4 linked regions of the Drosophila melanogaster genome follow. The gene in region 1 interacts genetically with each later gene. Each region holds a gene or a part of one and is shown in the gene's direction. Other genes may lie near its edges. The genes, in order: Scr, nej, hth and Gug.

The links.
Region 2: of Scr (region 1) and nej, changing one enhances a phenotype caused by changing the other (phenotypic enhancement), as found in Drosophila melanogaster (one study listed by BioGRID).
Region 3: of Scr (region 1) and hth, changing one suppresses a phenotype caused by changing the other (phenotypic suppression), as found in Drosophila melanogaster (one study listed by BioGRID).
Region 4: of Scr (region 1) and Gug, changing one suppresses a phenotype caused by changing the other (phenotypic suppression), as found in Drosophila melanogaster (one study listed by BioGRID).

The regions. Positions count from the first base shown.
Region 1 is NT_033777.3:6,845,650-6,854,156, reverse strand, and holds the start of Scr (Sex combs reduced), read left to right. Parts: upstream 1-4,175; 5' UTR 4,176-4,612; intron 4,613-5,651; exon of another isoform or gene 5,652-6,241; intron 6,242-8,507. UniProt on the Drosophila melanogaster protein: Sequence-specific transcription factor which is part of a developmental regulatory system that provides cells with specific positional identities on the anterior-posterior axis.
Region 2 is NC_004354.4:9,680,782-9,688,985, reverse strand, and holds the start of nej (nejire), read left to right. Parts: upstream 1-3,318; 5' UTR 3,319-3,436; exon of another isoform or gene 3,437-3,483; intron 3,484-4,834; 5' UTR 4,835-6,379; coding exon 6,380-6,434; intron 6,435-6,646; coding exon 6,647-7,231; intron 7,232-7,343; coding exon 7,344-7,712; intron 7,713-7,776; coding exon 7,777-8,204.
Region 3 is NT_033777.3:10,610,175-10,618,204, reverse strand, and holds the start of hth (homothorax), read left to right. Parts: upstream 1-3,928; 5' UTR 3,929-5,205; coding exon 5,206-5,220; intron 5,221-8,030. UniProt on the Drosophila melanogaster protein: All isoforms are required for patterning of the embryonic cuticle. Acts with exd to delimit the eye field and prevent inappropriate eye development.
Region 4 is NT_037436.4:8,447,155-8,455,226, forward strand, and holds the start of Gug (grunge), read left to right. Parts: upstream 1-2,767; 5' UTR 2,768-3,303; intron 3,304-3,493; exon of another isoform or gene 3,494-3,533; intron 3,534-4,620; 5' UTR 4,621-4,974; intron 4,975-8,072. Other genes in the region: CG6983 (uncharacterized protein), read right to left, coding at 1,995-2,031.

The DNA.
Region 1 (8,507 bases):
AAACACGATTCAAATTTGTTTGGCTTAAAAACGTCTGTTTATTAATACATGACAGATGCAACATTTTTTATTTCGAATCATTTCCGTAGTTCAGACGAAGCTGGAGTATCTCAAAACCGTGACGAAACCGACTCATTTGCTAATTCCAAACTCTACTGCAATCCGTCTTTCCCTTTAATGTGGCCTTGATGAGGTGGACCAATTAAAGCGACGCTGATTAGCGACGGCAGGAGGCCAAAAGTAGAGCAAAGGGACACAATAGAGACACATGCAGCTTAGTCCTGCGTACAAGTGAACGCCCGCATTGTTCACACGCATAGTGTGGGTGAATAAGGATGAAGCTACGGAACTGCAATAGAAGGATTCCGTTGGCGGCGCGCCGCAGGACGATAATGAACACAAATGAGCTCCGGCTTCGAAAACCGAATTCGAATCGAGCGAAAGGAGTTTCGGCTAAGAAATTGGCAAGCATTTGCTAAAAACTGCTAAACTACATGTTGAACAATGCCAAGAACCTGTTAGAAGGACATTCAGCTGAGAGTTCGACCTTGGCGCAGTATTTCAAGAGCAGTCAGTCGGGACTTTATAGATTTTTTTGGTTCCTTCTCTTTTTTTCTGACTATGTATCTTTTGTTGCGATCTGATTGATTGCTGTCAGGATTTTAGCTGGGAACGAATCCTAGGGGCTGCTTGAGAATGAGCAGCTGCATTCCATCCCTTGCCGGCCATTTCAAATATTTCACTACTTAGTTTGCACTTTAAGGATACTTTAAAGTTACTTATAGGTTCGTGGCAACTTTCGCCGCTGTCCTGGAGAATTAATCATTGCACAAGTACGCAGCTTGTGGCTAAGGACATGCGCAACAATCCACGCCTCCTTCCCCGAGTCTCATTCTCCCACTTTCCCCATCCGAAAATCATCTCGTCCTGCAGCAGCTGCGGCCAAAGCGAGAGCAATATACAGTTAAAGCTTTTCCCACTGCGGAAAAAGCTTGGTTATCTGGCTGGCTGGCGATGTGTCCTGATGTTCCTTGTATATGTATTTCGGGGGATGTGTGTATGCGAATAAAAATTCAATCAAAATGGCGTTTGCACGGCGTTGGATGCTGTATTGTGTGTACGGTTTTTTGTTGTTTTATTTATGCATTCACAGAATGGCTGGGAAATATTGAAAATGAAATCTTTAAAGATCAGATTTAATGCTGTAGCAGTTTGTATATAATGTATATATGTAAATCATGTACATGATATATACACGAGTGAATGTAACATTATGTAGTAAATTACAGTTTAAATAATATAGTGAACTCATGATATATTCTCATACAGTCTTGCAAAAGCCCAAACACTTGAAACACTTTAACAAAGTTGAAGTTAATAGTTTTAAATACACTTGACATATGAATGAATCAGGTGGTAAATATTTATATATATTGTAGTTCCATTTAAAGCTAATTAAAGTAAAATGGCACGCATAAAATAAAAGCTACATAACACATTTTAAAATATGCCCGTAAAGATCACATAGTCATAACTCGTGCCTTACTGCTCCTTTCGTGTACACCAGTGCCTCCTGCCCTGGTTCATCGCTTAAGCTCAGCTGTTGTCTCCTCCTAATGACCTCCAAGGCCCTTCTCCGCAGAACCGCTTACCCAGTCTCAAGACCAAGAAGTCCTCCCCCACCCCTGACCAACTTGGCCAGCCATCTTGTTCAACTAAGTAGCTCGCCTGACAGCTGAGCAACGTTTGTCATAATCAAATGTGAATGGACTGACACTGACACAGGGGCTCTACGGACTGAGGACTGAAAACTGAAAACTGGTAGCTGCCAAAAAGCAGAGAGAGGAAATTAATTTAAATTGGCCTTTAATGTAAATGCATCTCTCAATGCATCGCCAACTGCAGTTGGTTCTGTAGGAGTTTGCTCCGCTCCAGATACAGCTTATATCCCGACTAACACCGACTTGTGTTTGCCCCCAAATTGGGGGTATTTATCAACTACTCGTAGACATGGACTACCCATCCTACAACCAATTTCAAGAACCCCCATTTCCATTACGGATGCGTGAAGAACTCAAATGGCAAGGTATTAACGAATTGTCGTGAGTTTGGTTCGGGGAGGGGTATTCATTTTTCTTGGATCGTTTAATTGGAAACTGTTGCTGTTGCAGTTTCGTTGATGCACTGAGACAAAATCATACTAACATTAATTTTAACCTCTCTTGCTATTCAAATATAAAGCCCCAAATAGTAATAAAATTCAGTAATTGTGTATGGAAAAGAAAAAAAAATTTGTTTAAATAAACAGTTTAATGTTTGGAAAAGTAAATTTAAAATTAGTTATAAATATGTTACATTGTATTATAAAAGTTACCATAAGTGCGTTACATAAGTTACAAAGTTTTTCTTTGTGTTTTTTCTATGTCCAGATTTAATTCAAAAATTCCAACTTCGCGTTACGCGCTGTTTTCTTTAACTAAAAACAAAATACAAACGCTGCTGATTGTTTCATATTAAAAATTGAGCGTGTGTGTGCGAGGGGCAACATTTACAATCGGAGGCAACATGCAAGCGATGATGAAAAATCGCCTGCAACATGTTGGATGCTGCTGGGGACCCTCCATGGATCTAGAATGGAATGGGATCCGAGAGGATGCTATGCTATGCTATGGATTGGGATACGAGAGTCTGGCGCTGGCTGCCCGCTGGCATCGCCAACATCAACTCCAATTACAGAAGTACACGCAGGCGTCTCTCTTATGATTTTTTTTTTTTAGTTTTTCATTTATTTTCCATCATTTGTTTTTTTCTATACTTTTATATGGTTTGTGGATGATGCGGGCCAACCATAAAGAGCTGACATGTGTGTTTCAAAAACACAGCGGAAAACATATGGCAAAAAATACGACTTCTATAAGAAGAACAAATCGAATTGGTACATAAACTTAAGCTATAAATTCCGAAATACGTACTTACAAAATTTATTTATATTTTAATAAACATATTTTCGAAAGAATTGCTGATTTCGCGTTTCGGGTTTCGAAAGTAACCGTTCAGTACCACTTAAAAAAACACTTTTATTACAAGTTCGTATCAAATAAACGTATTAAGTTTATACGTTTTTAAATAAGATAATTTTTAAGACACTCACTATAAATACTTATTAAAACAAACTTTTGCTTTTGCAATATATTACGAATGACCTATGCCATTTATCTGTATTTGGTATATGTTTGTGGTTTCGCAACATAAACGTTAGATTCCAAAAATAAAAATAAAAAAAATAATCTCATTCAAAATCGATTTTGGGTGTGTCTTAACCAGCAACTCATTTTTATGATAAAAAATAGCTAATCAACATTTAAATCTCCGAGACAAACTAATCAATTGAATTCAAATTCAAATGACGCCAAAATCAAACCATATGTGTGTTCAGCTCTGAATGCGATGCTGGATTGTTGGTAGCAAATATGAAATCGACTTTTAATTAAGGCATTTAGCCAAACAAATCAAAATCGTTAAGCCCCGATGCTGAATGAATCATGAGAACTTGAACTTGGCTACGGCCCAAAGAGAACCCGATCCGCAGCCCCGAAACAGACCGATAAATTTAAATTCAGAGACAACTGCCAACGAGCTCGTTTTAAAGGAGGAATAACTTAAGCTTCAGCAGGAGACTTTGCATTTTGCCAGGCCAATAAAAATGGAAATGAACGCGGAGCGGAACGTTTATAAAATAATAATGCGAAATAATAATGTGGCGGTGATTTAGCGGAACAGTGCCACGATTGAATACAAATAAAGTGGGGGAGACGCCTAATCTAGGATGATTTCGGCCTAATCTGGAGCGTGAACCGGGGGCAGATGTGTCCTGGAGTGGCTGCCAACTACCTGTTTTTTCTCGCTTTTCTCGTATTTCTCGCTTTTCTCGAGAGCGCGCTTTTCCCCAAATCGAGGGAAAAGCTGGAGCGCCATAGGCCGGTTGCCGTGGCACCCTCGTCGCATAAATCAAGACTGGGGGCGGAGTCTGCCGTGGGTGCAAGTGGGACAGCAGGATTTTCGAAAATGCGCACTGTCCGTCCTCTCTCTCGCACTCGTTGGCCGGGTCCTCAAATGATTTACAGTGTTCGAAACGCACACAAGGCAACGCACGAGAGGGTCGTTTTGTCGGTTTTTATGGCTCAAACGTGAATTGAACGTGGCGCACTTCAGTCGCCAAGCAGCGCGCTCGGTCTTCTGCAAACATAAAAAGATACAGATACACGTTCTCGTATTCGTACGCGTAGCAATCCGCGAAGTTTCCGCTTGAAAGCCAGTCTTGCGATTCCATGGAAAGCTCTTTGGCGACGGCAAGGTGCCATGGTCTCCCCATAGCGGATACTTTACCGACTAACTCCTTTACATAGGAGCGGAATTACCTACCCACCTCAAATAATTTCTCAAACTGCTCATCTTCGCAAATAACTAAGATAGCAAAGTGCAGTGCAAAAGGCAAATACAATTAATACGAAAATAAAAAGTATACAGTGAAGTGCTGGCTAAGAAAACTAATTGAATTACAACGACTTGTTCGTAGCGTCTGATTGGATTTCCCCAAATCGTCCACATAAAGGTAAGAAAATAACAAACGTAGAAAAACTAAACTCTGAATGTAAGAAGAAAATTTAAGAAAGTTTTGCCCTTAAAGGTTTAAATGAAACCATCGATATATCGTTAAATGGTTCCTTTTAACCTTTCTAAACTTTTCCACTCAAATCATTCTGAATTAAAACTGCACTGTGGTGTGGAGGATTGAATATTTTAGAGTCAATTTAACAAACAATAAATATTGTAGAATACAAAAAAGGTGTCAATTGTAAAAAATCAATATAATATATATATATATATTTTTTATAAATATATATTATTTTAGCAAGTTCAGAAATCCAATTACTTTACTTCTTTGCAATACCTCCAAATGTTATATAAACTAACTGCACACTTAACTAAAAAAAAATATATGAACAACATTAAAAATATATATTAAATCTTCAGAGACAGATTTTACTTCTCCAAACTCCCAAAATGAGTCCCAGAGTCTTGATTTTATCCCAACTAGCCCAAAGTACGGAGTTCGAATGTTTATGATTTGGTCCCCCGAAATCGATCTCACACGGACAGTGTCGGTGAGAACAATAAGACTTTAGTCGCAGTTCGAAACATGATTTTCGAACTACCGAGTAACGATCTCTCTCAATAAGAACTTGTTCGAAACACGCGAGAGCGGTGCTTTTCGAACTACCGCTCTTTCGAACTCACACACACACACACCGATGTGTCGTATTCGTATCCGTGAGATACAATTTGTGGGAACGAATTTCTGGTTTGGCGGTTGATTCGAAACGTTCTTCGCGTCCGCAAAGGTAGTTTCAGCACATGCCTGAGAGCGAGCGAGATGGCGGAGCGGCGCAATGCCCGTTGTCTCTCTCGCACACTTTTCGAATAATGAACACTGCACTTGGACGACGATATGTAGCTGTATAGCCATATAGCCTTACTTGCTCGTACTCGCAGATACAATTGGACGGGGGAAATGGAGCAGTATGAGTGAGCCAGAGCGCTGGCGTATCTGTGTTTTTTATTGATGCTCAGAAATTTGAATTATGCCCGAGCAGTCAAAGTGAGACATTGGCGCTTCGAGCACGTATCCGCGGATACACCGGAATAACAGAAAAAAAAGCACAAATAAAAAAACTCAAACAATCCAACACTCAGCTGTTCCGCGTGTAAAGACCCTCGAATACTGTTCGATTTTAGCGAAAGATGGATGGACTGCAAAGTGCTTGCATCGATGCTGGCGCTGATGGACAGTCATAAATTCGGCGTGAAATTCGCGCAGATACTTAGATACTCCGTCATAGCGCATATACTTATCGTGATCTGTAACAAATTGCGCGTGTGCTTGTGTGTTTGTGATACCAAAAGCCGTCCAAATCCGTCGCTTAGCCCTTTGCGGCCAATTACCCATTAGAACCATCCAAAACATAAGCCTGCAGGTAGGACGCAAAAGTCTAGCCAGTTTGCCCTCAGGATGCCATCGGATTAATTTCCCAGATATCCGGCTGGTTGTGACAATTCTACCTTCGTAATTGTGCACGTTGATTTCCGCACTCAGCACAAGTGAAAATCGTGGTTCAGTGCAGTGAAAATCAGAAAACAAACTCACTTGAACGGAGGTGAACGCCGTCGGCTAACTAAAATTGTGAGTAAACGAGTTTAACGGCTGAAAATATTTTAAGCGCTTTGGAACAGGTGAAAACAGTCATGGAAAGGATATTTATTCGTTGTCAGTTTTTGTTTTGTATTTTCTAGTGTTTTTTTTTTTGATGTGTTAAGAACTTATGTAGCAATATTTGGTCTAAAGCAATTTAATTATAGTTTTTTCTTAACAATTTGATGCGATTTTATTTATCAAATAATATTTACAATAAAAAAGTGCTTTGTTCGTATGTACATATTTTTTTAAGTAACAATATTTCTACCACCTTAAATTTTATTTTTAATCTTACAATCTTTATCTTGTACTTTGACTTTCTTATTGAAGAAATAATACCAACACTAGTAAGTTAAAAAAAAATAAGAAATTTTTAATTTCTTTAATAAATCAATTTAATATTCTTTGAAGAAATCATCAAAGGTGCGTAATAATTTCCCCTGTTTGCTTCTTAAGACACTCCATATCAAATAATATAATTTGAAAAAATCAATGAAATATATTTTGATACCTAGTAACCGAACCCAGAAAATACATTTTATATATTTCCCTATATCGGGGCTTTGTTTCTGTATTCTGTTTAAGCAATTTTTCATAAGGTTGCGTGTGCGGTATCAACGCAAGGAATTTTCACTTCATTAAAGCGAAATGCAGCCGCTTTTGAAATAATTAAGAGGCACAAAGGCGAAATGTCACAGCGAATGAAAAATGCCTAACAAGCGCCGCATATAGAAGGTTAATCCAGACACATAGCGTTATATACCGAGCCCAAGCTGGGATAGGGATGAAGAAATGCCCACGATATAGGCTTGGCTACTATCCGGGGAACTCGAACTCATGCTGGCCAAGACGCCATGGGGCGAACATGAAATTATGTAAAATAAAAGAAGACGCACTGGGCTGGAACTTCATGGGACTTTGCCAATGACCGAGTAAAGGCGATGCTCCTGGGCAGTATTCTACATCCCGGCATGGCATCCCACATGTGCTCTAGTCGTAAGTGGATGAAATTCCACTTGATGTAGGTCACTTTCATTCGCCCATCTCGCCAAGGGTGGGCCAAGATCAAAGAGCTGGAGAGCTGGCTGCATCGATTGCATAATATGGGCACAACACTGAGACAGTTGCAGGCCCAGTAACAATTCCACTCCGAATTGCAGTCTATACGGCTAATTGGAGGGTAGGGGCCAGTCCAAAGTTCTACGAGTGTCTTCAGCAGCGCTGTAATTTATTTGGCCTGCGCCTGGCGGAGACATTCATCATGGCCTAACCCCGGCTCTTCCTGACGCCCCCCTCAAATATTTCAACAATACTCGTTCATATTTATAAATCAAAATCGCAAGCACGCAAGCTGAAAATTTGTGCTAGAGTCGTTGATCTATTGGCCGCAAAAATGGCAGGCCGTTCTAACAGGAATAGAAAAGTCTACAATAAAAGCTAGAGTAGCAAAACGAAAAGATACAAGACCGAAAGACAAAATAATACAAAAGAGGTTGGAACAGCATATATTGAATGCCATTTGTTTAGAATTAAAAGAAATTTATTGAACCATGAATGCTGCGAGCATATACAACTAATACTTGTCTTAAAAACCCGCCCCTCTACCTAAATTTATCCTAATAGTTGTCCGACAAAACTGCTCTCCAAAAATATGACTACAAATTAAGTTGGCCAAGGATTACCCATAAACAGTGGCAAGACCAGGATACATTACACAATTGAGATGTCCTTGACCAGAAACAGGACTACTTAAAATGATAATTCCGACTCGACCATTGCGCAAAAGATCATAAATTATCGCAGTGGAGAGGAGAGGAGATGACAAGCTGAACCACAAATGGCCGCTTGCAGCGAGGATCGGAATCGATGATTGGTTTTCAGTTGGGAAAACAATTGGAGAACTCATAAAAATTATGAGAGCCATGACAAACAAACAAACAAACCACAAACAGCAACTGTGACGAGGGTTGCCACGGCAGAAGAAGATGCATGTTTGGGGAGTGAGAAAAAAGACACAAAAAGATGAAGAGGAATAATATTTATGACTATTTTTATGAGGTGCTTACAAATTTTTATGACTTTTTAATGGGTCCGCACACAGTGTCTGGCCCTCTCGCTTCCTCGTGAGCCACCACATGGGTAGCGTGAGCGGGACAACAAGTGTTGCCAATGAGTGTGACTGCGCGTGCGCAAATACCTTTTATTTATCATTTTTGTTGTTTTTTTTTTTTTTGAGACTTAAACTCGTGCGTAC
Region 2 (8,204 bases), on another chromosome or scaffold:
CCATGGTCCATGGGAAAAAAAAAACGATATTTGCGAAATCCAGACGACAAAGGTGCCAGCACAAAGGACAACTAATTGGTTCGATTCCAAATTGAGCGTTCGCTGTTCTTTTTTCTTTAGTGTCCTTTAGATCCTGCCGCTGCTCCATTGTCCTTTGCTTTAGTCGGTGGAAATACAAATATTTATTTAATATCTAACATAGCGGAGCGCACTTGGCTTACCAATGAGAGCATTAAACGCAATGCAGCAATTTTTGAATTTTGGAAACAAGGATCAACTAATGTCTAATGAATTCTTTTTATGGCAATATTGGCTGGGTGGTTAGGGAAATCGACCCATTCCTGTGAAAAATAAAAATATTTAATTAATATCTAATAAACGGAGCTCAGTTGCTTACTAAAAAACACAGAAATAATGGAAACGAGCAAAAAAAAAAAAAAATAAATAAATTTGTTTATGAATGTCAAGTTTAGTTTTAAATCTATGCACAACTTACATTACGTTTCGGATTCTGGTGTATTGCTTTTCGGCGGATCTGAATCGTCAATAACCCGTGCAGGTAATTGTTCATTAATATTTTTATTATACATTATCTCATTCTCCACCATAAGCATTAAAGTGCGTGCTCGAGGCACTTTATTAGCTAGCCTATTTTTAGCTTTAAATGATCTATGTATTGTTTTTCTTATTTTGTTTTTTTTTGGCTTTTCCTGGTTTGACTTTCGTACTTTCATGTTTTATTCTAAATTTTCCAAAACGTATTTGTTATTCGATAATTTTTACGTTGTGTGTTTTCTTTGGGAGTCAAAGTAGAAATGAGGGTTTTGCTTGTGGGTCGGTTGTCTTGTGATTGAAATTATGTTCAATGCCTACTTTGTTAAACAAATTTAAATCGAAATACCGAAGCTCACTTTGTTTTTTTTTTATTGATACAAATTGTCTTACATTAAATCTAAAATATTATTTGTGTGCGCAGTTTTAAACAGCGAATACAATAACCCAAAGAGCAAATAGCCATGACACCCACCCTTATGTAATAGCTTTTTGAACACCATCCAGCGGGAAGTCATGCAACTAAAGGCAACTGTTTATCTTTTCTTAACCTAGGTGGCGCCATTTCTATTTCACAGATGGATTAGGCGATACACCGAAAGAAATCAGTAGATGATTGATGATATAAAAAAATAAAATAAATGTATTGTCTCAATAGGTTATATTTTGCATTTTATTTATTTATTAGAACGTTGCAGACAAGAGTTTAAATCATATAGATATCGGCTATAGCTGCTGGGGCTTTCAGCCGGACTTCTACATTATTGTTTACGTATTTAGTTACAACATTATTTGCAATTATTTACATTGTATTACTGCACTTACCTTATTGGAATATCTCAGATAGGTTTTAAAGCAAATAAAATACGTTAATGTAGGATAATTTTTTATAAAGTGCATATGCACTTCTACAAATATAGCTATTTCTTTACGCCTACATATGCGTAACCTAAACCTGAAAATTATGAATATGTTCCCCTTGTAAACAGCAAATATTATCCAAAATAGGCGCTTTGCTCATTTTACTCAATTGTACAACTAAAATTTGTATTCCATTTAGGTACTTTGATTTGCACTGTTTTCTACCCTATGTTACGCTCCACTTACAATAGAGTTTTATCAAATTGTAAAACCAAACTTTATATTCCAATTATTTTTAGGTTTTGAAACTCTTCAGTTCTTCATTCTGCATTGTTATTATAGCACGTTTCATCCATATAAATACACAAGATTAAAGGCAAATGACAATAATATCCGAAAAGATAGCTAGATAATGAATAATTACGCTTTTTAGCTACACAGCGGCCACAATGACAGCACTGTTCCTCGTACGAATGCTAACGTTAAGAAGAGGAAGAGACGAGCGGTGCTGGGTTGAAAAAAACTGGAAAAGGGGGGAAATTGGCGCAAATTGTGCACGCGAGGCGCAGCAGGGACGTTGGATCTTAACTATCGGTTTGTGTTCCTTACTTTGCGGCAAAATTAATGCAACCAATTGCCGATATACTGAGAAAAATGGCATAATTAAATAACCAGATCCAACGCATGTAGTGTAAAAAGTCGGGCATTATTCCCAATCGCAAAAGAGAGAGAATCGGTATCACTCGCTGACCCGTCTCGTTCGAGTCTTGATCGCGGTATCTCGCTTGCACCCACATACCGAGCGCCAGCCAGTCATATGGCCGTCCCGTTCATTTCGGTGACAACGTGTCGGTGTGTGTGCATCAGTGTGCAAGCTTATATGTGTGCGCTGTGTATCTGCAACAAACAACGGCGGCCGCTAACAAAAAAAATTGTAAATAAATACGCTGCCGTTCGACAGCGCGCGAAAATCGAAAAAGTGCTCGAAAAGTCAACGAAAGAGCGCCCCCAAAAGAATATAAAAAATTCCGCTAGCGGAAAGGGGGGAACAACAGAAGCAAGTGGGACATTTATTGAACAATTTGAAAATTAATTTGTTCTGTGCGTTGTTTGCATGACCACCGGTTCGTCGGACAAGGACGACGATAGTGTATCCTTCGGCGGCTGATTTTTCGGCTTGCCTCTCTCTCACACGTTCTCTTTGTCTCTCACGGCAAGAGCGAACGGAAAACACGCTAACACTGAACCCACCAGAGATGCGCAAATCCAATGACTCGATTACTTACGTGATCCTCTGTAAATATCGTTTTTCCTTTGAAGAACTTTAAACTAGATTTTTACGATGGACAAACGTTTTCAAAATTAATGTCTACAAATACTTTTTTAAACAAAAAATTCTAAACAACTGCACTCATTCAAGATGTTGATTTATTAATTCATATTAAACATCTTTTTGGAATACCTATTTGATCTCAAAAACGCTGCAAAGAATATTCATTTCATAATGATGTTGGTCTCCAACCAATGATGTTTCTTACAAAACTTCTTTGTGCACATTTTCAAGTGACCGCATAAAAGTATCGGCGAATGTGTCACCGTCATCATGTGGTCATCTCTGGACTCGCTGCTTCGTTATCTGGCGCGCCATATGTGTGCGCGTGTGTGCGTATCGGCTCTTTGGGAGCGCATGGCGTGAGCGGTCTCGCCGACGCAGAGAGCGAGGGACTAGAGCAAAACAGTGTTCCGACAGCGGTTAACAGCTGTTACGGGGCCAACAGACTGCTAGCAAAGGCATTTATATGGATTTCGGGTCGTAACAGTACGACAACAGCGGCCAAACAGCACGCGAGAGCGACGAGAGCCCACTCGCGTGTTGTGTTAAACAGTCAATTTTAGTGTATTTCCGAGCTCGGTGGTGTATTTGAACGGCTAGCCGCGGTCACACTGAAGCAAAAACATTTTTGGCTCGGAGAACGATTAACACAAGCGGACTGAAATTTTTTTGTTTTAGTGTTGCGAAAAAGTTTGTGGGATTTTTATAAAATCGCCGGAAAATGTGAAAAATATATGGTATAAAACCGAAATTCGGCAAAATTGCAAAGTATAGTTAGAAATTTAGTGCGTGGCAATCGGTGACGGTGGAAAAATAAAAATACCGGCCAAAATCGGGCTGAAATTTTTTTCAAATTTTCTACGGCATTTTCTTGAATTTCGTATTTTCGCCAAATATTTTTGCGATTTTTGTGTGGGCCGGGAAAAATGAAAAACGCTCTGGCGGAGACAACACAAAAAATTTCTGCAATAGAAACTTTGAAACGACGTGAAGAAGAAAACGAAACGAAAACGACGAACGAACACAGAAAAAAAATGGAATATATTTCTGTCGTCTGTTTTTCTTTCTTTTTCCAATGCTCCTCGCACTCGTTGCCGTTTACCGTCGTGTGTATATTGCACACTAATGCCGCTTGGCACTAATACCATCGCATGCTTTCTCTCTCGGACTCGTGCTCGCTCTTGCACGAACTCGCTGTTTTCGAAGTGTGCGTGTGTGTAACTGTGTGGTGAAAACGGCGTTGGCGTCGCTGTGAGAATTCTGTACGCGCGCCCCAAACCCCAAATGTGTGCGTGCGTGAGTGTGTGAAAGCTTTTGTCAGCCAGCCCCACTGCACTCTAGTGTCATCCCGCTCGCACCCCACTCGCCACTCGCCGCCCCAACAAATTGAATTTCATATGATGGCCGCTCGAATGCGGAAGCAAAACCAAAATACGGCCACTTTTTCGGCCATTTAATTTATAAACTAGACTATAGACTACAGCCGCAACTGGCTGATACTTCAATTAATTTTTTTAAGCAGTGCTCTGACTTTTATTACCTGTAAAGGTGTGAAATTTTTTTTCCAAAAATGTATTTGTCATAAAAATGTTAAGCATGTTTCAAAGTATATTTTTGCCAACGACGGCACTTGTTTTCCATATTTTTTAGGGGACTGGCGGCAAAATGAAATTATTATTTTCATTTTCGTGGTGTGCGCCAAAAGAGCGAGAGGCCAACACACACGTCTGCGAGTAAAATAACGAGTACAGCGCTGGTAGTATTGGCGAATAAAATTGCGAGGCAAGAACAGACAAGAGAGAGAGAGAGAGTGAGTGGTCGTCAAGCGGCACACAGATGAGTGCAACGAGACCGAGAGAATTCTCGGTACTGTTCTCGTTGTTCTTCCCTTTTCGCCCCGTCTTCGGCACGTCTCGTCGCATTTTAGTTTCGTTTTGTTTCCATTTTCCCCTCGGTTTCGCTGTCCACTCGCGCGCGGCTAAATTACAAAAAAGAAAGAAGAAAATAAATAAATATTGCTTTCGATTTGTGTTCGTCCATTCAACATAATCTAATAGGCTGTGTATTATTCTTCTTGTGCGTTTGCAGTTAATGTGTAATGCTAGAGCGGCAAACGTCGGCAGCAGCAGCAGCAGCAACAACATCAGCATCGACAAAAACAACAGCAGCGCGCCAGCAACAAAAACAAACCGAAACACAACAAACCCAACAACAGCCAACAATGTGAATTGCTTTTTTTTCCTTATTAATTGTAAACGATAACCGAATCAAGTGCAATCAAAATTAAACACAAGCATATATAATATATGGTCAAAATATCTATATATATATATATATATTCCTGTGTAACAAAAAGCCGCCAAAAACAAATCACATAAAATATGTAAGATAGCGGAGAAAAAGGCGGAAAGAAAAGGAAGAGAAAGAGGAGAGAGCCAAACCAAGAACCGTTCTTTTTCGCTCAGTGGAGGCAGGCAGGCAACAACAGACAAACAAACAAACAAACAATAACAAGAGCCGCCCAGCCAAGGTCAACTTTTGGTGTTTTTGGGGCCCAACAACACAAAATGCACGCGTGTGTCTGCTGCTGTTCGACAAACAACAATTGCAACAACGAGAACAACGACGGCAGCAGCAGCAGCAGCAGTAACCACAACAACAACGACAGCAGCATCAGCAGCAGCAGCAAAAACAAATTGCAGCTAAAAAAGCGCAGGGCCGAAGTCGAAGAAGAAGAAGAGGTACTGGTCAAGCGGACGCAGGATAAGAACAAGCATCAAGAGGAGCAGGAGCAGGAGGAGCACCAGGCGGTGGAAAAGTTGTCTGCTGGCCAAAGCGCCAGTGGCGGCGACAACGATCTCAACGGCGCCGCAACGAGAAGGCGGTGGTGGCTGCGCGATCCTCCAGGATCAGCGGAAGCGGCAGAAGGAGAGGGAAAAGGCGAAGGAGTGGAAGTGGGTGTGGGAGCAGAAGGATCAGCGGGCACAGGTCCGACGACGTGGTGGTGGTCAGCTCCATCCGTTGACGTTGCGGTGACGATAGCGCCGGCTACGTTGTTGCTGTCGTTGCAGCGGCAATTAGCAAAGGAATTATCTAAATCAACAACAACAACTGCAACAAGAACAACAACAGAAGCCACATCCTTAGCAATAAAAAGCGGAGCAGCAGCGTTAATATCATCATTAAGTGCAAGCATCGCCAACATCATCGATTACAAGATCCCAAAACACCAATACCAAAACCAAATCCCAATCCTCGCCAGCCACGCCTTTTGAGTGCCTCTTTGTGTGTTGTGTATTGTGCGTGCGTGTGTTGCAAAGTGTCCAAACTAATCAAGAAATCTACAACTTAAAACACTAAACACTTAACCAAACAAACAACCTGTGCAACAATTGTCAAAGTGCTAGGCGACAAATAATTTCTGAAAGAAGATTTGACAAGTTCCAATAACGAAAATATCAGAACACACTCGAACTCCAACATAGACGGATCATTGGAGAGTTAGTGAAAAAAAAAAGCGAAAAATCAGAAAAACTTTATAAACTAATAGAAACAATACTACTCAGATTTTTCGAACGTTTTTCGTCTGCGTTTCTGTTTTTTTCCGAATCGAAAGAATCAAACTAACTCTATATGATGGCCGATCACTTAGACGAACCGCCCCAAAAGCGGGTTAAAATGGATCCAAGTGAGTACCGAAACCAGAATATTCGATTTCTCATTTTTTTTTTTTTTTTGTTAATAACTTTTAGTTTTAGTTTATCAAACTTGTATTCTCCAGTTATTTCATAATTTTTAATAAATTCCTTACGGAATTGAAAAAGCAATTAATTCTATCCAACTATTTTTTTTTTTAAGAAAATTCCTTGCTAAAAACAATTTGGTTGTATCTTCCTCCAGCGGATATCTCTTACTTTCTGGAGGAGAACCTGCCCGATGAGCTGGTGTCCTCGAATAGTGGCTGGTCGGATCAGCTGACCGGCGGAGCAGGCGGTGGCAATGGAGGTGGCGGCGCCTCCGGTGTAACCACAAATCCCACATCCGGCCCAAATCCCGGTGGCGGACCCAACAAGCCGGCAGCCCAAGGACCCGGCTCTGGCACAGGCGGAGTCGGTGTTGGAGTGAATGTGGGTGTCGGCGGTGTTGTTGGCGTCGGCGTTGTGCCTTCCCAGATGAACGGAGCCGGCGGCGGCAACGGATCCGGAACGGGTGGCGACGACGGCAGTGGCAACGGCTCAGGAGCGGGCAACAGAATCAGTCAAATGCAACACCAGCAACTGCAGCACCTACTCCAGCAGCAGCAGCAGGGCCAGAAGGGCGCCATGGTGGTGCCCGGCATGCAGCAGCTGGGCAGCAAGTCGCCCAACCTGCAGTCACCCAACCAGGGCGGCATGCAGCAGGTGGTGGGCACTCAGATGGGTATGGTCAACTCAATGCCCATGTCAATATCGAATAATGGCAACAATGGCATGAACGCCATACCAGGTGATTAATCGTTCTTCCTTGTAATTGGATATCCAAGTTATCCTAGCCAATGCAACCAAATGAATATAGCAACAATTATCTGAAAACCCAAATTATGTTATATCTTTCGCAGGCATGAACACCATTGCGCAGGGCAATCTGGGAAACATGGTGCTGACCAACAGCGTTGGCGGCGGCATGGGCGGCATGGTTAATCATCTTAAGCAGCAGCCTGGCGGCGGCGGCGGTGGGATGATCAATTCCGTTTCAGTACCCGGAGGACCTGGAGCAGGAGCTGGTGGCGTTGGAGCTGGCGGCGGAGGAGCCGTTGCCGCAAACCAAGGCATGCATATGCAGAACGGCCCAATGATGGGACGCATGGTGGGGCAACAGCATATGCTTCGTGGCCCGCATCTCATGGGTGCCTCTGGAGGAGCTGGTGGGCCAGGAAACGGGCCTGGTGGCGGAGGACCACGCATGCAGAATCCGAACATGCAAATGAGTGAGTTTCTAGTGCCAGATCTAGTGTATTTCCAGCATGGAATTGAATCGATGGCTGATGTAAGATTTCCGTCCGTTTGCAGCTCAACTCAACAGTCTGCCCTACGGAGTGGGTCAGTATGGTGGCCCAGGCGGTGGTAACAATCCTCAGCAACAGCAGCAGCAACAGCAGCAACAACTTCTCGCCCAGCAGATGGCCCAAAGAGGTGGCGTCGTACCGGGCATGCCGCAGGGTAATCGGCCCGTTGGCACAGTGGTGCCCATGTCCACACTCGGCGGCGATGGATCAGGGCCCGCGGGGCAGCTGGTAAGCGGGAATCCTCAGCAGCAGCAGATGCTGGCGCAGCAGCAAACCGGAGCCATGGGCCCGCGTCCTCCGCAACCAAACCAGCTGCTCGGTCATCCCGGCCAGCAGCAGCAGCAGCAACAGCAGCCTGGCACCTCGCAGCAGCAGCAACAGCAGCAGGGAGTCGGAATCGGAGGAGCAGGCGTT
Region 3 (8,030 bases), 3.8 Mb from region 1:
TGGATGACCCGGCACATTTGTTTAACCAGCAAATTTGCCATCGATTTTTCTTCGGGTCAGTTAAAGTAGGCTGAATAATGACTGGAGAAAAATTAAATAAAGCTCGCAGGACCTTTGCTGCACAGAACAAAACAGGATATACGTTTTATAGATCAATCAAACACATTTTAAATGCCTCGGATTTTAATCTTTGTTGTGCATATTTCTAAATTCAAATAACTTACAGTAATAAAAATTTTAGGAATATTCTTGTTTCTTTCTGTGTAGAGGGTGTGAGTCGCAATAGATCAGGTAGATTTATGAACAAGTGTCCTAAGCCTTTTATGGGCCTTCTCAAGCGTTGAAAGTCACAAAAAAATTAGTAGGCAAAAGGAAGATTCATGGAAGATCAAGTAACTGCCAAAACAGGTAACTATGCAGGTAAACTGGTAAATTCCGTGTTAAAAATACAGCTCCTTTTGACAGGACCTCTGATTTTATATGAATTGTATAATTTTTGGCTTAGGATAAATGAATTGTAGGCGGTAATCGGAATCAAAATTCGCGCGCTTCTTAACAGAAATCAGTTTTTTATGTATTAAATTAAAAAATATCGGTGCAAAAAACTAAAAATATAACAATAAAACCTGAATAAATAAATATATGCAATAACATAAGTATACAGACTAAAGGAACAGTCAAACAATATTAAAACGATTACATCCTACAAATTATATGAATAAATCACGATTTGAACGACTATATACCTTATAAATAAAAACAGTGAACATACAACTCTAAATACTGAAGATCCTTAAACTCCAATGACTCTCAAATCATGTTACATGCCTAGTCTTGCAATGGCTGCACAACTGTGAAACAGCTGTAAAACGCGTTGCCATAAAACACTTAGGGCCTCTCGCTCCAACGCAACTGCAACGCATGCCATCTCGCTCGGCGCTCTCTCCCGCGCTGTTCGGCGAATTCAGACAAAAACAAACCATTAAAAGCGCGGCGAAAAGAGCGCGTGCACTTGTCTGTCAAGATTATGGCGGTTTCAGTCACTTTGTTGCTGTTTCTGTGTGTTCGATGTTTTTTTTTCGTATTTCGCAGCGACGGCGAAGAAGAAGAAGAGCGCCGACGGCAACTCCTATTTTTCTTCATGTGCCATTTTTTTGTTTTTGGCTTTCTGTTTCGGTTCTTGCTTGAGTGAGTGAGCGGGAGCAAGCGAGATGGCGCCACATCAAGTTGATATCGTGTCGTCGTCTTCATCTTTTGCTGTCGCTCGTCGTTTGCGTTTGATAAATTGCGTTTATAAGAAAGAGATGAATTGTCATGCACACAACACACACTTCTCTGCCGGCGTCGACGGCGACGCCGACTGCACTGCCGGCGTTAACATCACTGTAGGTGTTCGCAAGTGTGTGCCTGTGTGTGTGCGTGCGTGAGTGTTTAAATCATATTGGCTGGCCCCCCAATTGGTGTGAGTGCACGTGTATGGGTAAGCTTTCCCTCTCTGCCCTCTCTTTCGCTCGTCTGGGATTGGAAGTTTCCAAATGCAATTTTCCTTGAGGTTTTCCCGAGTCGGTTCCTTTTCGGCTTTCTTCTTTCATTTTTTTTTCGCTCACTGGGTGGAGGCCCAGCCCCCTAAATTCGCTTCCTGCCCCTCCTTTTGTACACCCCCCCCCCCACCGTTCGCTCTTCTCGCTTCTTGATTATTTTCCTTTTTCGGTGATTTAAATTTCATGGTCCCTTCAATTTGGCAAAGTTCTAAATATTAAATTAAATTCCTGCTTCATTTGCAAAAATTCTTGAGCTTTTCTGGAGCTGTCCGCTTTATTTGCATTCTTCGAAATTTAAGTTATCTGTTCTTATTAAATTTCATCTGAAAACATTTTTTCACTCAGTATTATTCTACGAACTAAGTATATTCTATTCCTCAATTAGCGCTTCTCAGAAAACCTCGAGTTTTCTTAAACAAATAAACTTCATTTGTCTAACATTTCGTTGGGATCCTTGAACTTTGCTACCGCGTCGATCGATCTATTCGAATTTAACTTGGTCACCGATAAGTCTGAAAAGTTCCCACACTTAAGCGTTTCACTAATTTATTGCACTTAATTGATTCGATTTTATGTGATTTTTGTTTCACATAAATTACTTGGCTTTTGGCCCGAGCAGACGCACAAAAGTTGGACGTCTGAAAAAGCCAAAAGAAAGCGAGTCCCGAAACGAAAAAAGGGAAAAAGCAACCGCAAATCAATCAAAGTCTCATAAATTTGTCAAAGTGTTGACAAGACGCAGAAACAGAGCACCTATATCATACATAGTTCCCAAGATTTTGGGGGTTTGGGATTTCGGGATGAAATGGCAACCAGATTAAGTGCAACATCATCTTTTTGACCAGCGAAAACAGACACGGGAAATCCTTTTGGCGAGCGTCGGAAAACAAACAAGGCTATTTTTCATTTTCCTAAAAACGCCGGCCAAATCGCCCCGTCTCTCTCGCTCGCCAGTATCCCCGTCTCTTTCGGCGTAATGGCAACTGCAGCGCCAAGCCAAAAATACGCTGGTGAAAAATGGCCTGGGAATATGTGTTAACTGCTTTTTAAACTGCCACGAGGACGACGACACGACAGTAACAATAACAGCAACAATAGACAGGATTTCGGACTGAATACGAAGATTGGCATACCTTGTTACCCTGTAGTTATTGGTAAAACAAATTGGACTAATTTATTTTAGTTTAAAATGTAAAAAAAAATTTGTACAATCACGCCGAAGATATCACAATTGACTGAAAATTGCCCAAACATACTTGTCATCAAAAAACTTGTTCAAATAATGCAAAAGCCCGTTTCCTCAATTTTTTATTTTTGGTTTGAGATGTAACACCATTTGTACAGGGTATATAAAAAACCAAATGAGAGTAGATTCGCCAAACAGGAGCGCAGAATGACCTGCAAAATATGCAATTTTCAGCGAATGTTTTTGACAATTTATCGCCGTTCCATTTGTTGTTGTTCCCCAAGAAGTAAGAAAGAGAGAGAGAGGAGAAACTCGAACAGCTGTTTGTTGTTGTCAGGATCGCATATCCTTCCAAAGTGGCCAGATCACCGTTACAAGCCAAAAGGACGCAATAAAGGAACTGCAGCGAAAAGTTTGTTTTTGTCGTCCACGTTTCTTCTTCTTCTCCTTCAAGTTTCTTCTCTTTTTTGCCGCTTTTCTTCGAAGGCGTTGCCTATTCGGGCAAAAGTGTGTGTGTGCGAGTGTGTGTGGGGGCGCCAAAAGAGAGCGAAAAGTGAGCGAAAGCTGAAGCTGATGGACAACTGAAGCTTTCTCGCTGCCTTTCAACCTGTAAAGGTGCGGCGAAAAAGAGCCAAGCTGCCAACTGCCACTCACTCAAGCGAAAATAACAAATGGGATTGGTTTTTGCTGATTTTCGACGCCGACGCCGGCAGAGGGGCGAAAAACCCATAAGCCGTCTCCTTTTGGCCAAAGCCAAATAAATTTCAAACGCGGCGAACATTGCGCAAAAAGAGGCGAAAACTGAGAAAGAGAAAGAGATAGAACACCGCTGTACGGTACTGTATATGCATGTGAATGACAAGTGTGTGTATGACAGAAGAGGCGTACCAACAAATCAGTCATCGTCGCCCAGGATGCGAGCGCGCCTGCGCAGGCAATTCGCCGGAGCGTTCGCATAAACCATATATTCCTCTCGCTTGCACTCGCTGAGTTATGGCCAAGAGCGAGTTAATGGCACAATTGTTGCATCTGAACAGAGCGGGGCAGCTGCATGATTGACAATCATGCCGCACCGCTTGCACCCGTTGACTTTGCTGTTGTTTGTCGCTCAGCGCTCTCTTCGCTGTTAGTTAACAGCGATGTTAGGAGTGGAAACACGTCCGACTGTAGCGTAAATTCAAACGTATCTGGCGGGTTGGTTTTTCGATGAAATATCTTTCATCCGCACAGTGTATTTTTGACTGCGAAGCGCGTACGACGTGTGTCTGTGTTGCGTTGCGTTCGAATAAAAAAGAGAAGAAAAGCGAAAAAGTGTTGCCGTCGGTGAAGTTTATTATTATTATGATTATTATTATTGCCCGTTAACCACGCGTTTTGCCATCAATCAACAAATAAACAACACAAGAAACACTTTGGAAATCGCGCGCGTTTTTCCATCGCGCGAACAAAACAATCACGTTTTTTAGTGTGTTTTTCAATCACAATCGAAAAGTTCTCCTTTTCACAATTGAAGGCCAAAATAAATACTGTTATTTGAGGGCCGCGGAGGGAATTTCTTTCAACGAGGGGATCCCGCCGATCCCCCCGCAAAAACAAAGAAACACGCAAATTGCCGTCGCAAAAACACAACAGAATATATTGCATTATATATTAACAATATAATTTGTTCATCTCTAGTAACGTAGTATGTAGAAGCAGCTGTGATAAATAGTGCGCATATTATACGAAAAAAGCAAAAAGAGTATACGACAAACAAATAAAAATTAAAAGCAACCACAACTACTACTATAAAAATAACCAAGGAAAAGGCAAGGAAACTCGCAAAACGAGAGAGAGAGGAAAAGGGAAAAAACGCCATGGATTTATGACAACAACAAATGCAACCCAGTAACAAATGATGTTGCAGCAACTACTACAATACACGAGTATACCAAGAACATCAACAACAACAACTGCAACGGCAACCAACAACAAATTGTATACGATTTTTATAAACCAAACAAATGCTATGTAAATAATTATTATAACAAACACACAAGTAAAAAAAACATTCAAAACCAGATCTCCCGCTCTAGAAAACAAACAACAAACGCGCGCGTAACAAAAACGACAACATCAACAATACAACAAGTATACAAACGTAATAATAATACATAAAATCTAAACAAATGTGCCTGTGTTAAAAAAAAAGAAAGCAAAATCAAGAAGCAAAGCGTTCAAAAAGCAAAGGCTTCCCAATACATGAAAAAAGTGCAAAACATATATAAAAATCCAAGAAAATAACATCCAAAACTGAAGAACTGGAAAAGCCAAGAGTAAATCTAAGGACTCCACACGGGCAGCTACAGTAGAGCTTCCCTAAAACCGAAGCAGTTGCAGCGGCGGAGCGGGACGTCGGTCAGTGTGTTGCGCCCCCATTTGTTGTTCCTACTGTAAAAAGTGGCACAAATCGGGTTAGACGTCGCTCCCAGAGCATTAATGGCTCAGCCCAGGGTAAGTAGATCCACCAAAGTTCACTTTCTAAATATATAGAATCCATATAGAATGGTCCCCCGAGAGTGTTGTTATCCTTAAACAAGTTCCGACGGCTAAAAAACAAATGGGGTTCAGTCAATTTGTAATCAAGTCAAGTGGTGCCGACGGCACTTACAGGTTGTAGTTTATGATGATATTGTAACAGTTTTCATATCATGGATATGTTACCAGTGTAACCAAATCAATCTATAACCAGAATACGCAAAAAGTTTTAAAAATCTTCAGATATTAGTTAATCCAACTTCATGAAGTAGATCTATATAAATATTTCTTATACATGGCCTCCAAGCTTCTCCAATTTAACCCATTACAATCAATTCAATGGGGAATAGTTCTTGTTTATTAGAGCCCTATCAAAATGAATTTTAACTAAGCGTTTCTGAGTGTGTGTGTGTGTGTGTGCTTATGTGTATTGGAATAGGACAGAAATCACATTTGATTTATGCGGGTCATTTTCTGGTACAAGTTTATATAATTAACTGAGTCTGCAGCTAGACCATTTTATTTGGGAAGTGATGGAAATCAAAGATCGCCGAAATAGTGATAGATATTGTATTACATTAAACAACGGTTTACTCTAGAAAATCATTAAATAATGTTTATTGAAAATTGTTAGCTTTTCCCCTTAACTTTTCATTTTCACACCGCAATAGTTGATTCGATTTTTGTTTAAACATGGCTGGGACCTTCACCTCCGAAAAGCCCCCCCGTTGCATAGCCACAATGATTCCACCATTTTCCATCACGTTTATAAGGCATAAATTCTCGCCTCGCTTTTTAAACGGAGTAATAATTTTTACAATCCATCTGGATCGTAAATTATATGCTAATCAGGTGACCGGCAGTCTCCGCTCGCCCGCTCTTCAAAAAAATATTATTACCAAATCGCAGTTAGACTTTATCAATTGATTATCATGGACATGCGAAGTGAACTTGATTTTTATTTAACGGAGCAAAAAGACCTCAAACATGGCCGTTTGCCTGTGTGTGTGCTACCAATTAGCGTGTGTGTGTGTGTGTGTGTTACCAAAAGGTGGGCCATGCTCTTTGGGAGCATTAAAAAAATCAGAAAGAAATATAAAAAATAAAAATGGATATGGAAATGGAAATGGAGATGGGAAAAAAGAAATGCCCGCGGGAATTTTGTGTGTGTCTGCGTTACTGGCGAATAAATTTACGCCTGTGGTTTAATACCCGATTCTGTGCCGAATTTACCTCTTTGAATCCCCTTTTTCGTAATTCTCCTGCGGCTCTTTACCCGAATCGCGCCATTTCAATTCCATCAAATGAATTTTTCGACTCGGGGCGAGAGATATATGTATGTATGTACGAGTATGTGAATATATACGGGTGTTCTGTCTGTTTGTGTGCATTTGATGCATATAATTTTATTGCACATTTTGCACATTGCCAGCGGCCCAAAAGCGATCCATTCAGTTTATGCCGCTTCGTGGTTTTATTATTTACAATTTTATTTTTACCATTTTCCATGACTTTGCGCTGCTATAATTTGCGAAAAATGGCGGGAAGCAATTTTCGCGGGTTCTTCTCAAACCAAACTGCACATGCATTTTTATATATATTTAATTTGATTATTTTATGCCATCGAAACGGAGAGCAAACGAGAGAAACAGTGAGAAAGAGCGGCCGTGTAAAATGTGCAAAAAAAAAAAATGTGCAATTGCAATTTGTATAAAAATGTGCATTGCAGCTGCTGCCATTCTCCCCCGCGCCCCCTCACTTTTCCCACCATTTTTCAGTTCGTGTGCCATTTCAAACGCCTGCGAAATGCAGCACAAAAATTGTTTTGGTGTTATTTTAATTTAAAGGTTAACCGCAGCGTAATTTGTGGCATAAAATATAATTCGTCTATCGTGTGCTCGCCTCTCCCACTGTGTTTGTTCAGCTATTTTTTGTATTTCTCGTTCGCTTTAGAAATAAAATCAAAATCAAAATAGAAAAGATCAAGGAGAGCGGAGCAGCGGAAAATGCCACAGTCGATTCTGTGGTTTACTTTAGTGGCCAGCAGCATTTGCAAAAGTTGATGGAAACATTCGGAATTCGACTTAGGTGGCAAACTAAAACATTTTTTTTGTTGAGCCAGGAAAAAAATTCTAGTTATATATGTATATATTATCAGTATATAACAATGGTCCGCTGAAATGTGTACTTTCAAATATACCAACTGCTGAACTCATTCCATTAATAACAATAAATTGAATTTGAAATTCCCTATGTTACAAAATAACATTCGTCAGCAAAGTATAGTAATATTTTTTCCCGCCTAGTCCTTATCATATTGCAATAGTTTAATCTTTGCCAGCGACCAACCTTCGTCGCGAATTCTTTTCTAATTAAGTGAGCAATTCTCCAGTCTTCCCAGCCTCACCGCATGACTCATGGGCTCCCCACTTACCCCCTTTGCCACGACCCCCCGTTTATCAGGAGATTTCAGATATATCTTGGCTTTCGGTTGAGAATCCGCTCGGCAGACGCTTCACATGCCAGCGAAAATTGAGCGAATAGGAAGCGTCAGGCTGAGAGGAATATTTATAAACAAATTACATATGCATATTTCTGCAAGGGGTGCGCAGGGGGAGGGGGTCATAAGACTCTATATGGGGCCTCCACTTCTCCCACTTTCCACCGATGTTGTTTTTCGTGTGCTAAAGAGCTTCATGTTTAATGATCAAATTGCGTGCCTGATTCTTGGGTCGGTGCCTGCTGGTGCTATATAGTTGTTGCCTTTGTTGTTATAGCCTATAGAG
Region 4 (8,072 bases), on another chromosome or scaffold:
GTAAGGTTTTTAGAAGGTCTGGTGCTAATTATATGTTTTTTCTATTTATAACCAGCTTTATTCACCATCTTTTCAACAATTTTAGAAACAGGAAACCATAAAAGTTCCATATTAAGTGTGTTCTTAGTCATGTCCGCCCAATTTGTCCAGCTTTCAACACCCTCACACGATGAATTATATAATTTCGAGCCGCCAAATTCAAATGTTCATATACTTTTATTGCTGGACGGTGTGCTTGTGTGTCTGCCCCCTAACTAATACTAATGCAGTTGCTACCCCCAGTTGGGGGGATGCCATAAAAAGGCCACCAATCGCCGTACGTGCCAAATCGACTATAGAATATATAAAATGCCATATGCAAAATGCAAATGCAAAAACGAGAACGAACTGCAAACATGCATAACAGTATTGTAAGTTATGTATTTCAGAATCCCTCTCGAATCAAAACAATTGAAACACCAACAAGACAAATATCAATAACGAACGCCTTGTGGGCGTTGGATGGCCACCCGGGAGCGGAGGCGTGGCAATAGCATCCCCAGCATTGCTACCTCATGCAACAAAAACAACGTGCCCGCAGGTTTCCCAACGAGTCTATAAATAGCCCGCCACATGAGGATTGCACAATTGCATATCACTTTATAGAATACATAACAATAAAAAAAATAGTGACTACCACAATGGAAACCTCCGCTGGCGGTAAATGCAATTTAATCAGCCCCATTCGTTGTTGTTGTTTTTTATCTCTGGGGTGTTGGATATCTAATTCTTGGGGCGGGCGCCAAATAAACTTACAATTAGCATTGCCCATGAAAACGCTGGGCAAACAATAAAAAGCTTTAACTCACAATTTGCATTTCTAGGCGATAAGCGTAAGGAGAAACAAATTTATTAAGTACTATACAAACAAACATGCACATTAGGTAAGCAAAAAATAATAATAATAAAAAAACAATAGTATAATAATTCTAAAGATCTGTTAATCACGTTTAAGCATTTCGTGTTTGCTTTCGCAATAATTTTATTATTCACCAAAATGGATCGAATATAACTGCCACTTGAAACTGCCGCTCAAAAACAAAAAAAAAAAAAATTCTGATAGCCGCTAATTGATGAAGAAAGTGTGTGAAGCGCGAAATGAAAACTATTTTCGTTTTCCATACGCTGCTTGCTGGCCACAATTCATTAACTTCTGTCAGGAGATCATAAATTAAAATTAATCTAAGACAATTTAAGCAGGCTGCAACAGGCTGATAAAAACTCGGGTCGAGCGCCGTTTGAAAAGCGATAAGCGAAACCCATTGAAGTCACGCGAATGGCGACAAAGTCGGCGAAATGGTAAAAATGGAAAATGGAAAACCATCGATTGCGGTGGCCAACAAAAGTGGGCGGTAGGTGGTCGAAATTGGCTTAGCTATGGCCATGAACAAATATTATTTTTAATATTGCGACAGAAAAGCAGGAAGAAGAGGTCAAAGAACAACAATTGGCGGAAATCGAATGTGTGAAGTGAACGGGAAGGAAATGGCCAAAACACTCGTGCACACATACACTTACTCTTACGCTTACTCACTCAAAGTTACACTTTTAATGTATCACATATATAATCAGACTTATTTCCCCCACTTTTTTTCAGTGCATTCCCAGCTGCATGTTGGTTTCTGCGCTAAGAAGTGCAGCTGTCCTGATTTGCAGAAAAGGTCAGCAAACAACAAGCGATTCCCTCGAGTGGCCTGACTTGCCTAAATTTAGCTCACTCTTTTCATTCTTTCTGTTCCAATTAAACCGAATTAATCGCCAAAATCCACGCGCAATTACCCCCACTTACCCTTTTTTTACCATCAACCAAAGAATCTACACCCCCCACCGCCGCCTTTTCCTAATGATATTTTAACGCACTTGAGCTGGTTTCTATGCAAATATTGGGCGCTACTTAATGGCCAAACAAATGAGTTGGGCAAATAACATCGGGAATCGGAGTTACTAATTTTTACCTTGATGCTCCACATTTTCAATGGACTCGTCGCACATTTTGAGGATCCGTAGATTCGCAGCTCTTGATTTGTTTTGGTTTTTTTTTGGTGGTAGTGTTAAATGCCAGCGATTTTGCGAACCCTCAGAATTTAAACAGACGACGCGCTTCTTTAGAATTTCCCGATTTTCGCAGCGAGGTGATTTAAATCAGAATCCAAAAACGACGAAAAACAAAATAAACAATAGTGGTGGTGCGTCGGTAGATTTCTTGTGGCTATCGATGTTAGGCGCAGAGTCGATAGTCGCTTCTGCCGAAATGGCGCTTTTGTTCACTGTTCTAACAGAAATGTTAATTTACAATAGGGATATTTTACAATCAGTTGGATTTTTAAAAATTAAATATAAGTTTGTGGAATCGAATTTTTCGCCTATTAGGACGAAAATTAAGCAATTTATTTTTAAAGTAAGCCCACAATATGCTGCGACAAACTGTTAATATAGATCGACTGTTAACCAATTAAACTCCAACTTTCATCGTATTAAATTTCATAGAAAATCTGAAACACAGCTGTTAGCCATATATTAATGTTTAAATATATATCATTTATTTTTTTAACATATGCTTTAGAAGTTTTTAAGTCTTGTTTAAACAAATAAATTACCATTTCAAAAGACAAACTTACGAGTGCTCACCAACGAAAGCTGTTGGCTACACAACAATTGCTGGCTTATTTAGCACATGACCACCAGCAATGCTGCCACTCTGCCACCGCCAGCCTTGCCAGACCCCGCAAAGTATATATTTTTACAAAATGGTGGCTTCTTCGCGGAGAAATTCGTAGTGGCGATTTTTAACAAAAAGCACGCATCTTGGCCAGCCAATTATTGTAATTTGCTGGCGAAAACATTCGCAACCACGCTGGCTGCGCCGTGTGGCTGAAAATTCCGCGAAAAAGCAACCGAAAATCGCACAAGAACCCAGTGAAAATAACTGAAAGCGAAGGCAGGCAATAAAAAAAACGCAAGCAAGCAACCAAAGTGCGTGCCTGTGTGTGTGTGTGTTCGAGTGTACGTCTGTGTGCGCTGCTCTCTGTCTGTGCCTGTGTGTGCGAGTGTGCCTCTCTGTCAGTGTGTGTGTGCGCAAAGTGTATGCAAAAAAAGAAGAAGAGAAACGAAGAAGAGCATTAAAAAAAAGCGTACGACGAGTTTCACGCGCGCCCAACAACAAAAACACCAGAAAGCAGCAACAGCAACAACAACAAAATCCAACAACACTTGGCAGCAGCGGCAGCAATAAAAAAAAAAGCAACAACAAGCAAGCAGCGAAACGTAAGGAAAAATCTACAACAAGTGTGCGAAAATTAATTATTACTAAGTGTGTCACTAATTTAATTTGGAATCGCAGTTGCGCAGCGTGCAAATCATTCAAATTTATGTGAAGTCTTTCGGGCAGCAAAAAACAAAAAACAAAAAAATAACGAAAAACAGTAAAACAGAGAAAACAGTGGCGTATCCCCCCCCCCCCCCCCGCAGTTTTTGAAAGGGTGACCGACGGATGGGTGGGTGTTTGAATCCAGTCTATTATGAACTTTTTGGGGTAGAACAATGCAAACACGAACGAAGGCTCAACAAATTTGCTGAAAAGGAATCGCAAGCGCAGCAGCAGCAACAACAAAGCAAAAATCCAAGCGTCAGCAGCACGGGCAGCAACTAAAACAACAAAAACAGGCCAAGCAACAACAGCAGCAACCCACCACCGTTGTTGCCCCTTTGTTATTGTTGTTGTTGTTGTTGTTATCGTCGGCGTCACCACCGACGCGACGCAACGCGACGCTCTTGCGGCCAGCGCACCCACCACCCCCCAAGGATGCTCCTGCCTCGGACTAACCCCATTCCTGTAAAGCCCCCCCCCCCCCACACCGCCCTTCCCTGTTCCTGTGACCGCTCCTGCTGGCCGTGCTTCTTCTTCTTCTTCTTCCACTCAGTCAATTGCTGTTGCTGACGTTGTCGGAAAAATGTGTCTTGTTGCCTTTTTGCTGGCTGATAAATAAGCTAAAATATGTACTTACCCACTATTAATGCTAGAGAAGTGTTTGGAATTGTATTTATTGGCAATAGATTATAAAAAATATCGCTATAACTGGCGTTATTCCCCGTACTAATAGTACTATTGATATGGACTACTACGACTTACTTAGATATGTCATCTTGGTACTAAAGATTTTCTGATAGCTATTGTTATTCAATATTATACAGTCCAAATAGATAGATAGATTGATTATTATTATTACAGATGTTTTGAACATAGGTCTGCCTGGTTTACATTGTTTATAAAATTTAATAAGGAAAGGATCAAAGAATATGGGTCACATTATTATGTAATTAAAAGTTCTCAACTCAAAACCAGGTACATAGGATTTCAACTATGCTATGCAAATAGCTAACGTATAAAATTGCCAAGTTCTATGGCCTCATTTGGCGACTGCTTTTGGTAGTAGTATCGCTAGTGGGGCATTGTTTTTTCGCAGGGCGCTCCTTGCGCCCCAGCTGCTCAATTCTTCTGTTTGGTTCTTTCATTTTCTTTTTCTTTCGCTTAATCATCTCCATCGTCTCGGCTCTCACCTACGTCATCTCTTCGCCTTCCAGCTGTGTTTGTGCAAATTAACCGAAATATACATTTCCGGCTACTCGCTGCCTCCTCGCTGAGCAACAACTACAAAAACAACAACACCAATAACAACAGCAGGAACAACAATATCAAGAACAACAGGAGCAAAGCAACAAGAACCACCACGACCGCCGCCCACCCCCTTTGAAAATCCATCGACACAGCACCACATCACCATCGTCGTCATCATCATCATCATCCTCAGCAACTTGGAGTCTGGAATCTGGAGACGGAGACCGTAGACCGGAGTTACTTTGCCGCCTGCTGCTGGAGAGAGGAGCATCTTCGTGCGGGACGCCTCGACGATACACAACCCCGACTACGGATTCATGGTGAGCCAAGACATCTGTTCGAGCCCGGCGCACACATTTAATTATAATTATTTGTTTGCTTAATTCGATACTTCACGCTGGCCCCCGTCTCATGTGTCACATCCCCTCGATGGGGTTGCTTGTTCATTGTGCCGAAGGGTTTCCACTCGGCTAATGGAGGAAACTATTTTCCAATGGTATCCCAAAGCAATTAGAAAACCGGGGGGCGCGTGCCCCTAATCCGTTGCTTTGCTATTGTCGCTCATATTCGGATTTGTGGTGTTCATTTTGTGGGCTGGTGGTATTTAGGGGGAATTGCGATTAGATCGATGATAAGGCTTACACATACCCTAAACCCACTGAAACAGATCTTTATCGCCGCACTTGTATACTGCTAATGAGTTGCCTTGTAGGCCAATTAGTACACCCTTGTTCGGAATGAAAAAAAAAAGGGTTGACCGGGATCAGACAGTTTAGAAACTCTTTAGCGCATTGTTGGAAAATATTCCACTTGTTAATAACTATATGAATCTATCAAAACTAGTTTTGGTTGTCCTCTATATGTTTATCAATTTAAATAAAGATAATATTGATTAGCTGCCATTTTGTATTTATAGTGTCATCGTTTTATGGCCACATCTAGTTAAATAGATTAATTTGTATTGTAGCTATTGTAGGTCACTTGTTATACAAGCAATATGGTGCAGGATTAAATCAGAGCTAATGAGGGATTACCAGGTCATATGATACGCAATTTTACGCATTGTTCATGGGGGATTTACGGATCTCTTTATCTCTTCCAATGAAGTGCCATGGTTTAACTTGCTTTTAGCCAAGTGAAATTCGAGGCAGTTAGTTCTTGGAAAACGGAGATTGATTTCAAGGAAATTCCCAGACAATTTGCACCGCTTGCCGCCTTGCTTATCTTCGAAACCCACACCCTGCCCATTTCCACATTTCCATTTGCCCGGCACGCCCGCTTATCTGCACCCACCAACCCAAAATCCACGAAGAGTGCGGCGGCGAGGCCATCTGATTAGAGACGCATTAAAAGGCTGGAGTGTTTAATTAATAAATAACGTGCTAATAATGCATTTAATAAAAAGGCAAGACGAGTGCCGCCAACGGAAACTTAAGGCGCACAAATAACACGAATATTTCAGAAACACAAATACCAAAAAAAAAAAAAAAAAACAAAAGTGCTGTTGGGAAATGGATGAGTTCCCTCGCGGTTTTCCGGCTCCTCTGGTTTTGGTACGGTTTTATATTTTGTGTTTGGCTTTTATTTCTTTTTTTTTGTATCTCTGGTATGTTACACAGTTGCTGGTCGCCTTTGATGTCGGGGTTTTGTGCGCGCTTTCATATTTTATTATTAGTCATTTGGCTTATTTATAATGTGCCGTTAAAGTTTAACTTTATTAATCTGTTTTGTTGCGCTTTTAATTTATAAGTGCTGCTTATCTGATTGAAAAGTCCGTCCGTCTATCCGCGCACACTTGACTCGAGTGTGTCGATTTATTGATGTCGATTAGAAGTAAACGGAAGGTTTTCCTCATTCAGCCTCGGAGTTCTCGCTCTGTGCTCTGTCCAATTACATAACCGATTTAATTAGCATTGCTGACTGGGCAGCCAAGCGGCCTGATCTAAGCCATCCCCACGAACAAAGCTAAACCTTGGACCTAGTGGTGTGTACGTGAGATAAGCTCGTTCGGTGGTAATTGGTCAATGGAAGTGTCAACATTAGACAAATTGTTTAACCTTTTGATAGCTTCGAATGTATTTTGCGATTTTAGGTGTCGTTTCTAGCATATGTTACGTTTTTTTTAAAGCGCGAAAGGACTAAAGTGATTATTAGACTGGGTGTTTCATTAAGATCTCATTCCAAAGAAATCAAAGTAAAGCAGGGTTAATTAATTAAAACTCAAAAAGCCTCAACAATATATATATAAAAAAAAACCCTTCTCCCTCACGATGACATCGTTAGTCAAACACTCGCGGTGCTAAATCAATCCCAGTTACTGTTTCTGTTACGTGTTAACTCCATTTAGCGATAAGATAATTAGCACACACAGACTGCTTATTAAAATATACAATTCCGAGAGTGATGTATTTGTGGCTTGGCTGCATTTCAGCGTATTATTATTATTATTTATGCGTTATTTATAAAGCGGGAACAAAAAAAAAAATATGAATAATTTAAGCTCGTGTTAATCAGTGTAAAATCAATGAACAGGCCCAAATGGGTGAGAATATAATGCAAAAGCGTGTTAAATGGGCCCATAAATCTTTGGCGTTGTGTGTAATTCTATTAGCCAAGCGGAATAATACGCGACCCAAGAGCGGGAGGCAGCACATCATGCAAAGAGCTCATTTACAAACATACAGCCACTCGTGCAATGCCAAGCAAACAAATAACGGCAGTTCCATAAACACTAGGAAAAAAGGGACACCATTCGAGGTGTACACAGTGCAGAAAGGAAGAAAATGCGAAAAGAGAAAGGAAAAATGGATAGGGGAAAAGGAAAAGGGACCAGACAGACACAGACACTCGCACATCCTGCCGCCAGCGGACGAGACACATCACGACATAAGTAACACGAGACAATTTCCAAATGAAGTGCGGATAAGCTGCAAAATCCTTAAAATACTCGATAAGATGGTGTTTCTTACTTAATAATTAATATTGGTTAATTCCTTGGGAATTTCTCGGGAATTTAAGTTTTGCTTAGTTACATTCAGTTAAAAATTTTTTTTTTGAGTTAAAATCCATTTTTTACTTTTTTACTTGCATTATATTTCCCACAGAATATCAGACAGAATTCGGCTTGACTTTTGTGTTCGAAACTTAGCTTGAAAAAGCCTGTGAGATTTGCTTTTGTTTTTTCAAACACTCGCGAGGAAAATTCCTGGCGAGGAGTTTTGGTACTAAGGGACTAATCGTAAACGGACACACACACATACACACACACACAGAGAGAGAGAGAGAGAGAGAGAAAAAGCCGCAGACTACAGAATTGGCTGGATACTTATGGTGCAAAAAGGGGGGGATAGAGGTTGTGAACAAGAGGATGTGGATGATGAAAAGGAGGACGGGGGGACGGCGTGCAAAATGATGAAGG